Linked DNA regions of Xenopus tropicalis. The protein of the gene in region 1 purifies or fractionates together with the protein of each later gene. This does not show direct contact. Links are inferred from orthologs where the notes say so. Each region holds a gene or a part of one and is shown on either strand. Other genes may lie near its edges.

Region 1 (3,990 bases):
CAACTCTTAAACGAATGCTGATGTTCCTATGAAAGTCCATACAAACACGTCAGTATTACAATAAGTTCTGTCTAAATATATCTCTTCAGCCATCACCTTTCATCCTTGACTGCAGTTGAGGACATGTTACTGCCTGTCTTAAGTGAATTATTCCTCATTAACACTGAATTGCTTTTTATAAACCCTCTTCAACTATTGTTCAACTAGCAACCTCAGGTACTTGAATAAAGGTGGCCATACACGTTAAGATCTACTCGCTTGGCGAGGTCGCCAAGCAAGCGGATCTTCTCCTGATATCTCCACCTACGGTTGGGCGATATCTGGAAAACTGTAGGGAGCAATGGGTGCAAGTCGGTTCATGGACCGCATCAACGAGCCGATGCGGTCCCAGATCCGACTAAATCTTTTAACCTGCCCAATCGATATCTGCCCAATTTCAGCCCAGATATCGGTCGGGCATGCCCCTCTTTCCTGCCCCTACACTGGCCGATAAGCTGCCGAATCGGTCCAAGGGACTGATATCGGCAGCTACAATTGGCCCGTGGATGGCCACCTTAAGCCTTTGGACCCTGACTTCCTCTGATTGTCTGACATTACATTGTCTGGCAGTACTGTGTACAAGTGCTTTATTTTTAAAAAGTTGCGCGTTTGTATGGCAGTCTATATAAGAGTGTAAAGAAGAACAAGGAATTATGGTAATCTGTGCTATAGGGTGAAAACACTTTACCCACTACTAGGAACACATGAATAAATATATGGATAATGTTAAAGGTGAAGAAGGACTGTTAGGAAGAGAAATTAATTGATGAGCTGAAACACTATCTGCCAATGGACACAATGGAGTTGGCAGCTTATCAACCACTGTATTGGGTCTTCAGATGAGCCAGACAGAAAATTGCTGAAAATTGGGCAGATGTCAATTGGGCAGGTTTGAAAGTCCCGTTGGGGCTAGGATAACCGCCTTCATTCCGTTATTGTGAGTCGTTTGGCTCAAGGGCTAAGAACATTCAATAAGTGCATAATTTATAATTAGCTGTGTAACGGCATAAACGACATAAACAGATTTTCCATTTTAAAACCGGTTGTGTTTTTTTTTTGTAGCCAGCGTATCAAAATTTGCGTCAGCGAGTTGATAACTTTGTCGCCAGTCACTTAGCAAGCCACACATGGAGTCCTCATCTAAACAAGAACCAGCTGAGGAACAACATCAGGCAGCAGGTGCTTAAGTAAGTAATAGATTTTAATAGCCATAAGGCAAAAGTTCCCCAGGACTGACCCACTACAGGAACCCAACTCTTTAGATGCTTGTCCCAGGCTGAAGGTCAGTTAGGTTAAATTCATAGTACACAACAGTTTGCTTTCCTGGATATTTTTGGAATTATGGTAAGATGATTGATGTGGAGTAACAGGGGGAAAATTTGCTCACTCACATTTAGATGCAGAGTACTTGACTAGATAGATAATGCATGCATACACTATGGATAATTAAATGGTAAAGTGTTAATTAATGGGGGTTGGTACCTTAGACCTAGGACTGGCACACCTTTTTTGCTGACAAGTGCACTGGTCCAGGTGTTTTCCATTAGGTAGTGCTCTGACATTTTTCCTAAAGTCCCAGTGATCCTCTGTACTGTCCCAAGGCCCATTTGGGAGAGTGCAGGGTATCACTGGTACTTCAATGGAAAAGTAACCAGGGCCAGTAGACCATTCAGTAAGTGGTGTGCTTCTGTGCAGTGGAAAACACTGGTTTGAATTATTAGTTATTTATTTGTAGGCAGTAGCTATGCACACGTGTGTGTGTGTGTGTGTGTGTGTTTTTGTCTCTCTCTCTAAAGGCAACACATGATAAGACCAAAGTTGAAGAACTATGGATTACATGCTGCATTATATTGTGTCCCATAGGCCAGCAAGATCTTTGCTCCTCAAGAGTCTTTTTATACAGTGCTCAAACTGGAAGTTAAATGTCCCATTGACATGAGCAAGTTTATCACGTTATATAGCTATCGTTACTTTCGATGGTTGTTCTTGTATACTTCATTACTTAGCAATATTTTTATTGTTTTCAGTTTCATGAAAAAAACAATTCTTCTGTTATTTACAATTCTTTTATTTGGTGCTTTGGCAGGTCTGGAATGCTAGAGTCTGGCATTGACAGAATTATTTCACAGGTTGTCGACCCAAAGATAAACCACTTATTCAGACCTCAGGTGGAAAAAGTTGTTAAAGAATATTTGGCCATGATGAATAATAAAGAGGATGGAAATGTAAATACAGAACAAAACGAGGAGCGATCAGAAGCCTCCATCTCTGTTCCTGGTATGTGTATGTCTGTAAGTACAGGTATAGGACCTGTTATATGGAATGCTCGAGACCTGGGTTTTCCAGACCATTCCATAATTTAGATCTACATACTTTAATTCAGGGCTGTCCAACTAGAGTCCTGTGGGCCTGATGTGGCCCTCCAAAGGGTTTTTATGGCCCCCCCCAGTCTAGTTGGTGGCTCTATAGATTTCATTGTATTACATTATAATTTTAATAGAATCAAGTCGTGCTATATGAGAAATAATCTGCACACAGATACATACATGCAAAAAGTTAGACGGCACTGCTTTGTCTCCTAAAAAAAAAATGGGTTTATTTAATGTTTCAATTATTTTGTCTCCTATATAGATCAAGTACAGGGTACTATTTTATTACAGAGAAAAAGGAAATACAATTTAAAATGTTGAATTATTTGATTAAAATGGAGATAAGCTTCCAGTGTTTTGGACCTTTCTGGATAATGGGTTTCCAGATAACTGATCACATACCTGTATTTTATATCAAATTAGTATCTGCACCTTTTTTTTTCTTAACCAGCCATGATTTAATTTGAAATTTTACAAATTTCTAAAAGTAGAAAAAAAATAAGTTTCCTAATAGTATCTGTTACACTTTCTGCTCAAGGTTCTCTACCAGCAGTTGGACCTAGCACCAATGTAGCAAGTGATGCAATGTCCATTTTGGAAACAATCAGTTCACTCAATCAAGAAGCAACTGCTGCTCGTGCCTTCATAGAAACTCCGAACAATAAAAACAGTGACAAAGTGAGCAAAAGAACAATTCAGCAAAGTTTTGATGCTACAGAAGAAAAGGATCGTACTTTAGAGGAAACTCAAGAGGTGGAAAAATCCATCCCTGATATGCTGGTTGCAGAAACAGAACCTGATATAAAGACAGAAGATTCCAATGATATTTCTTCCACTGTAGAAGCCTTTAAACAACCTGACGCAGTTGGCATCTCACAGAGCAAAGACATTCCAAATGAAAATGAGGAGCAAAAGCCAAAAGCTGTAGAGAGTGAGAAGAAAAATGAGGTCAGTGAAATAGCACAGAAGAAAGAGGATAAGAAGGAAGCAAAGACTGAAAAAAGAAATGAGTACCCCAAAAAGGGTGATGATGTTGTAAAGGTTAAGGAGGATAAGACGGTGAAAGAACGTGAGAACGAACCAGAAAAGAGCAGCAGTAAACAGAAGGCAACTAGCACCTTAAAAGAAGGTAGGATTTGTTTGGCTTCTCTGGCTTCCTCCCACACTCCAAAAACATACATGCTTCTTGTGTAAATGTTCTTTATATATTGCACTGACATATTACACTGGACTTTAAATATGACTATTTCACACAACAGATTTTCTGCTGTTTTTCATTGGGAGAGAGTTTTTCCATTCATTTTAATTGCAACCACCTGTCAATGTACCCACAGGGCAGATTCTGGTTTGAAAATGCACCCTGTTTGCACTGAGACGGGTGTTTATCATTAAAGGAGAAGGAAAGGCCAAATCACTAGGAGGTGCCCAATGTTAGGCACTCCCCAGTGATTGTAATTGCTCACCTGAAACCCCTGGCCAGTGCTCCTGTTAGAAAGAAACTGCACCAGCCCAGGGTAAATGCAGGCGAACAATCCATCCTTTCTTTCAGCAGCAAAAGCCGGCTTTTTTGGTCAATTTGGCT
Region 2 (4,424 bases), on another chromosome or scaffold:
TGGCTGTGACCCAGTCTCCCCTCTGTTGCTGCCCAATGTCACTATTGTACCCAAGTCCTGACTGTGACCCAGTCTCCCCTCTGTGGCTGCCCAATGTCACTATTCTACCCAAGTCCTGGCTGTGACCCAGTATCCCCTCTGTTGCTGCCCAATGTCACTATTGTACCCAAGTCCTGACTGTGACCCAGTCTCCCCTCTGTGGCTGCCCAATGTCACTATTCTACCCAAGTCCTGACTGTGACCCAGTCTCCCCTCTGTGGCTGCCCAATGTCACTATTCTACCCAAGTCCTGACTGTGACTCAGTCTCCCCTCTGTGGCTGCCCAATGTCACTATTCTACCCAAGTCCTGGCTGTGACCCAGTCTCCCCTCTGTGGCTGCCCAATGTCACTATTCTACCCAAGTCCTGACTGTGACTCAGTCTCCCCTCTGTGGCTGCCCAATGTCACTATTCTACCCAAGTTCTGACTGTGACCCAGTCTCCCCTCTGTGGCTGCCCGATGTCACTATTCTACCCAAGTCCTGACTGTGACCCAGTCTCCCCTCTGTGGCTGCCCAATGTCACTATTCTACCCAAGTCCTGGCTGTGACCCAGTCTCCCCTCTGTGGCTGCCCAATGTCACTATTCTACCCAAGTCCTGACTGTGACTCAGTCTCCCCTCTGTGGCTGCCCAATGTCACTATTCTACCCAAGTCCTGACTGTGACCCAATCTCCCCTCTGTGGCTGCCCAATGTCACTATTCTATCCAAGTCCTGACTGTGACCCAGTCTCCCCTCTGTGGCTGCCCAATGTCACTATTCTATCCAAATTCTGAATTGTGACCCAATCTCCCCTCTGTGGCTGCCCAATGTCACTATTCTACCCAAGTCCTGACTGTGACCCAGTCTCCCCTCTGTGGCTGCCCAATGTCTCTATTCTATCCAAACCCTGACTGTGACCGAGCCTTTACTCTGTGGCCGCCCAATGTCCCCAGTTCGCAGACCATATGACCAGTGGGCAGGGATTTGGCCAGACTGTGAGAGGCGCTGACTTAGAGCCAATGGCGATTTGGGCAGCGCGGGTTGAACACAAAACCCCACACCACGTGTTCTCTCTAGCCTATAGCAGCTCCAGGCTGGTAACCGTCCTCCCGTAACCATAGAGTCGGACTATAGATCTGCATCCTTTTCTTTCCTGCGCTCCTTTCTATAACATAATCCCGCCTTTCCTCCCTCCTTATACTACGTCACTCAGCTTTCCTTCAGCGGTCGGCAGATTCCACATTTCTTAATCAGTAAAAGGGAAAATAAAAACCCACCCCTGCTGCTTTTATGTTATTAGTGGGTTACAAAGTGAGAAGCCGTGCTCCGTCCGGGGAAAAAATGGCTTCGCTTATTTTATGGTGTTTGTGTTGAAAGTGCCGCGTCGGAAAGTGGTGGTGAGGAAACCAGTCTGCGCTTTCAGTGGCTGCAGATTCCACTCTGCGCGGTGCGGACATAGGATTTTACTCAGCGCGTTTGTGAAGAAAACGAGACCGCTTTACGGCGGGAGAGGCAGAAAAGGCAAGAGGAATTAAATAGTCGGTGGGGAAGCCTGTGTGAGGCAAAGGGGGCAGGGCCGGGGCGAAAGCGGCAGAGCGGAAGGCAAGGCAGCGCCACCGGGAGGCAGCGAGAGAGGGATCCGGGGGAGAGACAGCTAGGGACACAGCGCGTCAGTCAGGTGAGAAGCAGGGAAATCAGCAGCGGAAATAAACACCGAGACACAGTGTGGAAGGTAACGGCGAGCGGCGGCCATGGCGGGGGAGGCCGGGAGTGAGGGGCTGAGGGCAGGGGCACAGGGGCTGCCCCGGAATGGGAACCTGGCGATGCGAGGGGCACAGGGGCACCCAGGGAACGGATACACTGCGCGGCTGCTTAGTGGGTAGGGCACACAGGGTATCCGGCCCCCCAGCATCCCGGGACCCCTGGGGGTGGGAAGGAGTAAATGGACAAAGGGCCACATGATACATTGTCAGTTCTGAGGTACTTTCATTTCGTACATCAGCTGGGGCCAACCTGCAGCCCCCCGGCTTTTACTTCCCTACTGCAGCCCCCCGGCTTCTGCTTCCCTACTGCAGCCCCCCGGCTTCTGCTTCCCTACTGCAGCCCCCCGGCTTCTGCTTCCCTACTGCAGCCCCCCGGCTTCTGCTTCCCTACTGCAGCCCCCCGGCTGTTACTTCCCTACTGCAGCCCCCCGGCTGTTACTTCCCTACTGCAGCCCCCCGGCTTTTACTTCCCTACTGCAGCCCCCCGGCTTCTGCTTCCCTACTGCAGCCCCCCGGCTTCTGCTTCCCTACTGCAGCCCCCCGGCTGTTACTTCCCTACTGCAGCCCCCCGGCTGTTACTTCCCTACTGCAGCCCCCCGGCTTTTGCTTCCCTACTGCAGCCCCCCGGCTTCTGCTTCCCTACTGCAGCCCCCCGGCTTCTGCTTCCCTACTGCAGCCCCCGGCTGTTACTTCCCTACTGCAGCCCCCCGGCTTTTACTTCCCTACTGCAGCCCCCCGGCTTCTGCTTCCCTACTGCAGCCCCCCGGCTGTTACTTCCCTACTGCAGCCCCCCGGCTTCTGCTTCCCTACTGCAGCCCCCCGGCTGTTGCTTCCCTACTGCAGCCCCCCGGCTGTTACTTCCCTACTGCAGCCCCCCGGCTTCTGCTTCCCTACTGCAGCCCCCCGGCTTCTGCTTCCCTACTGCAGCCCCCCGGCTTCTGCTTCCCTACTGCAGCCCCCCGGCTTCTGCTTCCCTACTGCAGCCCCCGGCTTCTGCTTCCCTACTGCAGCCCCCCGGCTTCTGCTTCCCTACTGCAGCCCCCCGGCTTCTGCTTCCCTACTGCAGCCCCCCGGCTTCTGCTTCCCTACTGCAGCCCCCCGGCTTCTGCTTCCCTACTGCAGCCCCCCGGCTTCTGCTTCCCTACTGCAGCCCCCCGGCTTCTGCTTCCCTACTGCAGCCCCCCGGCTGTTACTTCCCTACTGCAGCCCCCCGGCTGTTACTTCCCTACTGCAGCCCCCCGGCTGTTACTTCCCTACTGCAGCCCCCCGGCTGTTGCTTCCCTACTGCAGCCCCCCGGCTGTTGCTTCCCTACTGCAGCCCCCCGGCTGTTGCTTCCCTACTGCAGCCCCCCGGCTGTTGCTTCCCTACTGCAGCCCCCCGGCTGTTGCTTCCCTACTGCAGCCCCCCGGCTGTTGCTTCCCTACTGCAGCCCCCCGGCTGTTGCTTCCCTACTGCAGCCCCCGGCTGTTGCTTCCCTACTGCAGCCCCCCGGCTTCTGCTTCCCTACTGCAGCCCCCCGGCTTCTGCTTCCCTACTGCAGCCCCCGGCTTCTGCTTCCCTACTGCAGCCCCCCGGCTGTTACTTCCCTACTGCAGCCCCCCGGCTGTTACTTCCCTACTGCAGCCCCCCGGCTGTTGCTTCCCTACTGCAGCCCCCCGGCTGTTGCTTCCCTACTGCAGCCCCCCGGCTGTTGCTTCCCTACTGCAGCCCCCCCGGCTTCTGCTTTCCCTACTGCAGCCCCCCGGCTTCTGCTTCCCTACTGCAGCCCCCCGGCTTCTGCTTCCCTACTGCAGCCCCCCGGCTTCTGCTTCCCTACTGCAGCCCCCCGGCTTCTGCTTCCCTACTGCAGCCCCCCGGCTTCTGCTTCCCTACTGCAGCCCCCCGGCTGTTGCTTCCCTACTGCAGCCCCCCGGCTTCTGCTTCCCTACTGCAGCCCCCGGCTTCTGCTTCCCTACTGCAGCCCCCCGGCTTCTGCTTCCCTACTGCAGCCCCCCGGCTTCTGCTTCCCTACTGCAGCCCCCCGGCTTCTGCTTCCCTACTGCAGCCCCCCGGCTTCTGCTTCCCTACTGCAGCCCCCCGGCTGTTACTTCCCTACTGCAGCCCCCCGGCTGTTACTTCCCTACTGCAGCCCCCCGGCTGTTACTTCCCTACTGCAGCCCCCCGGCTGTTGCTTCACTACTATTCCCAACAGCCAACGAATTGCTGCTCATCCAAAGCTGGCTGGTGCAGGGTGGACTTTCCTTAATGATCTAATGCCCCCAAGGGGGCCCCAGGCTTGTCAGGGGCCCACTGTTCCCTGGGATACTGTGCTGAAGGAAGGGGCTGAGTGTAACTAGAAGACAGAGAAGAGTGGGGGGGGGGGGGGGGGGCATTGGGGAGACAGGCAGGGCAAGAGACTGGCCAAAAGTATGCTTAGAGATTCCCAGTGTGAAATTTAAGAGAAGCCATTTTGGCCCAGTGCTACAGGCAGCGAGAGAACCACAGAGAGTGAGACAGAGGGGCAGCTGGGAGAGACCGACACAGCCACATATCAAAGCCTTTACAGGGGCAGCAGTGGGGTGTTTAGTTATAGTGTTTGGCTATAGAGTGACACGCAGGAGACAGACATTAAGGGTTGTTTACTAGGGAATCTTTCTGAC
Region 3 (4,786 bases), on another chromosome or scaffold:
GGTAGGGGGTGCCATAGTGTTTCCCTTAGACAGTACAGTATGGGGGTACAGCTTATTGTGTGCCCAGAACATTCCCTCTCTGTATATTTGTATTTATACATATGGGTAGGGGGTGCCATAGTGTTTCCCTTAGACAGTACAGTATGGGGGTACAGCTTATTGTGTGCCCAGAACATTCCCTCTCTGTATATTTGTATTTATACATATGGGTAGGGGGTGCCATAGTGTTTCCCTTAGACAGTACAGTATGGGGGTACAGGTTATTGTGTGCCCAGAACATTCCCTCTCTGTATATTTGTATTTATACATATGGGTAGGGGGTGCCATAGTGTTTCCCTTAGACAGTACAGTATGGGGGTACAGCTTATTGTGTGCCCAGAACATTCCCTCTCTGTATATTTGTATTTATACATATGGGTAGGGGGTGCCATAGTGTTTCCCTTAGACAGTACAGTATGGGGGTACAGCTTATTGTGTGCCCAGAACATTCCCTCTCTGTATATTTGTATTTATACATATGGGTAGGGGGTGCCATAGTGTTTCCCTTAGACAGTACAGTATGGGGGTACAGCTTATTGTGTGCCCAGAACATTCCCTCTCTGTATATTTGTATTTATACATATGGGTAGGGGGTGCCATAGTGTTTCCCTTAGACAGTACAGTATGGGGGTACAGCTTATTGTGTGCCCAGAACATTCCCTCTCTGTATATTTGTATTTATACATATGGGTAGGGGGTGCCATAGTGTTTCCCTTAGACAGTACAGTATGGGGGTACAGCTTATTGTGTGCCCAGAACATTCCTTCTCTGTATATTTGTATTTATACATATGGGTAGGGGGTGCCATAGTGTTTCCCTTAGACAGTACAGTATGGGGGGGGGGGCTGCATTACTCACACGCTCCCCAGTGACAGACACACTTACAGAGCCGCTGGGATTCAGTAATGAAGCAAACTCATGGCTTCGGCTCTAAAGCTGCCAGTAAAGCTGATTTACTTCCCCAGTTACTGGGGGGGGGGGGGGGGGGTCCCTAACCATTAAGCACATAACAAGGGGCTGCTAAATGGGAGGGAGGGGGGGCTGCTAAGCGCAATAATAACAGCGTTGGGCCCATATCCCGCCCCACTGGCGCTACTGCTACTGACTCAGCTTTGCTAATGCCCCGTGTATAACATACCCCCCCCCCCCCCAGCTCTCAGATTCTTACACAAAAGCCCCTCATTTCCCTGTGGAAAGATACACAGTTCCCCAAATGTAATTAGATAAGGGAATACCCCCCTCACTGAGGTACAAGTGTAACTAATCAGCTAAATGGGTCCCATTGGGGGAGTGAGTTTTGCAGGTTAAAGGGCAACTTCACCTTCAGTAGCTAAAAAAAATACCCAGAAATGTGTTCAAACTTCACAAAACCCGCCAAGTCTAGTAATGTGGGAGGGGCGTGTAGGGGGGGCGTGGCCACAGCGTCTCAATGTTGTACGGAATAGCCTCTCACTCTCAGCTCCTCCCCCTTCCCTCCGTGTCCCACAATCCCCTCTGAGCCGCCCCGGCCCCGCCCCCACACACACATTAACCCTCAGTTCCCCACTTCCCGCTCTCTCGCAGGTACTTCCGGCCGCAGCGCTGGTCACGGGGTGTGCGCGTCACGGAGAGGGACCCGGAAGCGGAAGTGGATGTTGTTGCTACGGGAGGAGAGATGGTGAGACAATATTATCCGATGCGCTGAGTGCGCTGTACCCGGGGATGGTGTGGGGGTGGGTTTGGGGGGGGCCCGGGAAGGGTTTGTGGGGGTCCCCTGGGGTGCGGGGGTATCGGGGTGGGGGGGGGAGTCCCCTCACATTGCTATTGGCTGTATCCAGCGCCTTAACCCTGTGTGTATCCCCTGTGTGTGTGTGTAGCCCCGCCCCCTGTGTGTATCCCCGCCCCTTGTGTGTAGCCCCGCCCCCTGTGTGTATTGTACTAATGGGCCCCACAGGTACAGGGGGTTATACTGTGTCACACTGGCACTGCCCCCCCAGCATTGTACTAATGGGCCCCACGGGTACAGGGGGTTATACTGTGTCACACTGGCACTGCCCCCCCAGCATTGTACTAATGGGCCCCACGGGTACAGGGGGTTATACTGTGTCACACTGGCACTGCCCCCCAGCATTGTACTAATGGGCCCCACGGGTACAGGGGGTTATACTGTGTCACACTGGCACTGCCCCCCCAGCATTGTACTAATGGGCCCCACGGGTACAGGGGGTTATACTGTGTCACACTGGCACTGCCCCCCCAGCATTGTACTAATGGGCCCCACGGGTACAGGGGGTTATACTGTGTCACACTGGCACTGCCCCCCCAGCATTGTACTAATGGGCCCCACGGGTACAGGGGGTTATACTGTGTCACACTGGCACTGCCCCCCAGCATTGTACTAATGGGCCCCACGGGTACAGGGGGTTATACTGTGTCACACTGGCACTGCCCCCCAGCATTGTACTAATGGGCCCCACGGGTACAGGGGGTTATACTGTGTCACACTGGCACTGCCCCCAGCATTGTACTAATGGGCCCCACGGGTACAGGGGGTTATACTGTGTCACACTGGCACTGCCCCCCAGCATTGTACTAATGGGCCCCACGGGTACAGGGGGTTATACTGTGTCACACTGGCACTGCCCCCCAGCATTGTACTAATGGGCCCCACGGGTACAGGGGGTTATACTGTGTCACACTGGCACTGCCCCCCAGCATTGTACTAATGGGCCCCACGGGTACAGGGGGTTATACTGTGTCACACTGGCACTGCCCCCAGCATTGTACTAATGGGCCCCACGGGTACAGGGGGTTATACTGTGTCACACTGGCACTGCCCCCCCAGCATTGTACTAATGGGCCCCACAGGTACAGGGGGTTATACTGTGTCACACTGGCACTGCCCCCCAGCATTGTACTAATGGGCCCCACGGGTACAGGGGGTTATACTGTGTCACACTGGCACTGCCCCCCCAGCATTGTACTAATGGGCCCCACGGGTACAGGGGGTTATACTGTGTCACACTGGCACTGCCCCCCAGCATTGTACTAATGGGCCCCACGGGTACAGGGGGTTATACTGTGTCACACTGGCACTGCCCCCCAGCATTGTACTAATGGGCCCCACGGGTACAGGGGTTATACTGTGTCACACTGGCACTGCCCCCCCAGCATTGTACTAATGGGCCCCACAGGTACAGGGGGTTATACTGTGTCACACTGGCACTGCCCCCCCAGCATTGTACTAATGGGCCCCACGGGTACAGGGGGTTATACTGTGTCACACTGGCACTGCCCCCCCAGCATTGTACTAATGGGCCCACGGGTACAGGGGGTTATACTGTGTCACACTGGCACTGCCCCCCAGCATTGTACTAATGGGCCCCACGGGTACAGGGGGTTATACTGTGTCACACTGGCACTGCCCCCCAGCATTGTACTAATGGGCCCCACGGGTACAGGGGGTTATACTGTGTCACACTGGCACTGCCCCCCAGCATTGTACTAATGGGCCCCACGGGTACAGGGGGTTATACTGTGTCACACTGGCACTGCCCCCCAGCATTGTACTAATGGGCCCCACAGGTACAGGGGGTTATACTGTGTCACACTGGCACTGCCCCCCAGCATTGTACTAATGGGCCCCACGGGTACAGGGGGTTATACTGTGTCACACTGGCACTGCCCCCCAGCATTGTACTAATGGGCCCCACGGGTACAGGGGGTTATACTGTGTCACACTGGCACTGCCCCCCAGCATTGTACTAATGGGCCCCACGGGTACAGGGGGTTATACTGTGTCACACTGGCACTGCCCCCCAGCATTGTACTAATGGGCCCCACAGGTACAGGGGGTTATACTGTGTCACACTGGCACTGCCCCCCAGCATTGTACTAATGGGCCCCACGGGTACAGGGGGTTATACTGTGTCACACTGGCACTGCCCCCCAGCATTGTACTAATGGGCCCCACAGGTACAGGGGGTTATACTGTGTCACACTGGCACTGCCCCCCCAGCATTGTACTAATGGGCCCCACGGGTACAGGGGGTTATACTGTGTCACACTGGCACTGCCCCCCAGCATTGTACTAATGGGCCTCACAGGTACAGGGGGTTATACTGTGTCACACTGGCACTGCCCCCCAGCATTGTACTAATGGGCCCCACGGGTACAGGGGGTTATACTGTGTCACACTGGCACTGCCCCCCCAGCATTGTACTAATGGGCCCCACAGGTACAGGGGGTTATACTGTGTCACACTGGCACTGCCCCCCAGCATTGTACTAATGGGCCCCACGGGTACAGGGGGTTATACTGTGTCACACTGGCACTGCCCCCCAGCATTGTACTAATGGGCCCCACGGGTACAGGGGGTTATACTGTGTCACACTGGCACTGCCCCCCCAGCATTGTACTAATGGGCCCCACGGGTACAGGGGGTTATACTGTGTCACACTGGCACTGCCCCCCAGCATTGTACTAATGGGCCCCACGGGTACAGGGGGTTATACTGTGTCACACTGGCACTGCCCCCCAGCATTGTACTAATGGGCCCCACGGGTACAGGGGGTTATACTGTGTCACACTGGCACTGCCCCCCAGCATTGTACTAATGGGCCCCACGGGTACAGGGGGTTATACTGTGTCACACTGGCACTGCCCCCCAGCATTGTACTAATGGGCCCCACGGGTACAGGGGGTTATACTGTGTCACACTGGCACTGCCCCCCAGCATTGTACTAATGGGCCCCACAGGTACAGGGGG

The links. The genes of interacting proteins can lie anywhere in the genome.
Region 2: the proteins of bod1l1 (region 1) and setd1a purify together in Homo sapiens (affinity purification with mass spectrometry; 3 studies listed by BioGRID and IntAct, with this or other methods). This does not show direct contact. The link is inferred for Xenopus tropicalis from reciprocal best matches to the Homo sapiens genes BOD1L1 and SETD1A.
Region 3: the proteins of bod1l1 (region 1) and cxxc1 purify together in Homo sapiens (affinity purification with mass spectrometry; 5 studies listed by BioGRID and IntAct, counting the BioPlex papers as one, with this or other methods). This does not show direct contact. The link is inferred for Xenopus tropicalis from reciprocal best matches to the Homo sapiens genes BOD1L1 and CXXC1.

The regions. Positions count from the first base shown.
Region 1 is NC_030677.2:27,542,000-27,545,989, reverse strand, and holds part of bod1l1 (biorientation of chromosomes in cell division protein 1-like 1), read left to right. Parts: intron 1-1,101; coding exon 1,102-1,226; intron 1,227-2,125; coding exon 2,126-2,316; intron 2,317-2,946; coding exon 2,947-3,537; intron 3,538-3,990. UniProt on the Homo sapiens protein: Component of the fork protection machinery required to protect stalled/damaged replication forks from uncontrolled DNA2-dependent resection.
Region 2 is NC_030685.2:5,885,137-5,889,560, reverse strand, and holds the start of setd1a (histone-lysine N-methyltransferase SETD1A), read left to right. Parts: upstream 1-1,212; 5' UTR 1,213-1,379; coding exon 1,380-1,418; exon of another isoform or gene 1,419-1,542; intron 1,543-1,548; exon of another isoform or gene 1,549-1,753; intron 1,754-4,424. UniProt on the Homo sapiens protein: Histone methyltransferase that catalyzes methyl group transfer from S-adenosyl-L-methionine to the epsilon-amino group of 'Lys-4' of histone H3 (H3K4) via a non-processive mechanism.
Region 3 is NC_030684.2:1,147,756-1,152,541, forward strand, and holds the start of cxxc1 (CXXC-type zinc finger protein 1), read left to right. Parts: upstream 1-1,574; 5' UTR 1,575-1,693; coding exon 1,694-1,696; intron 1,697-4,786. UniProt on the Homo sapiens protein: Transcriptional activator that exhibits a unique DNA binding specificity for CpG unmethylated motifs with a preference for CpGG.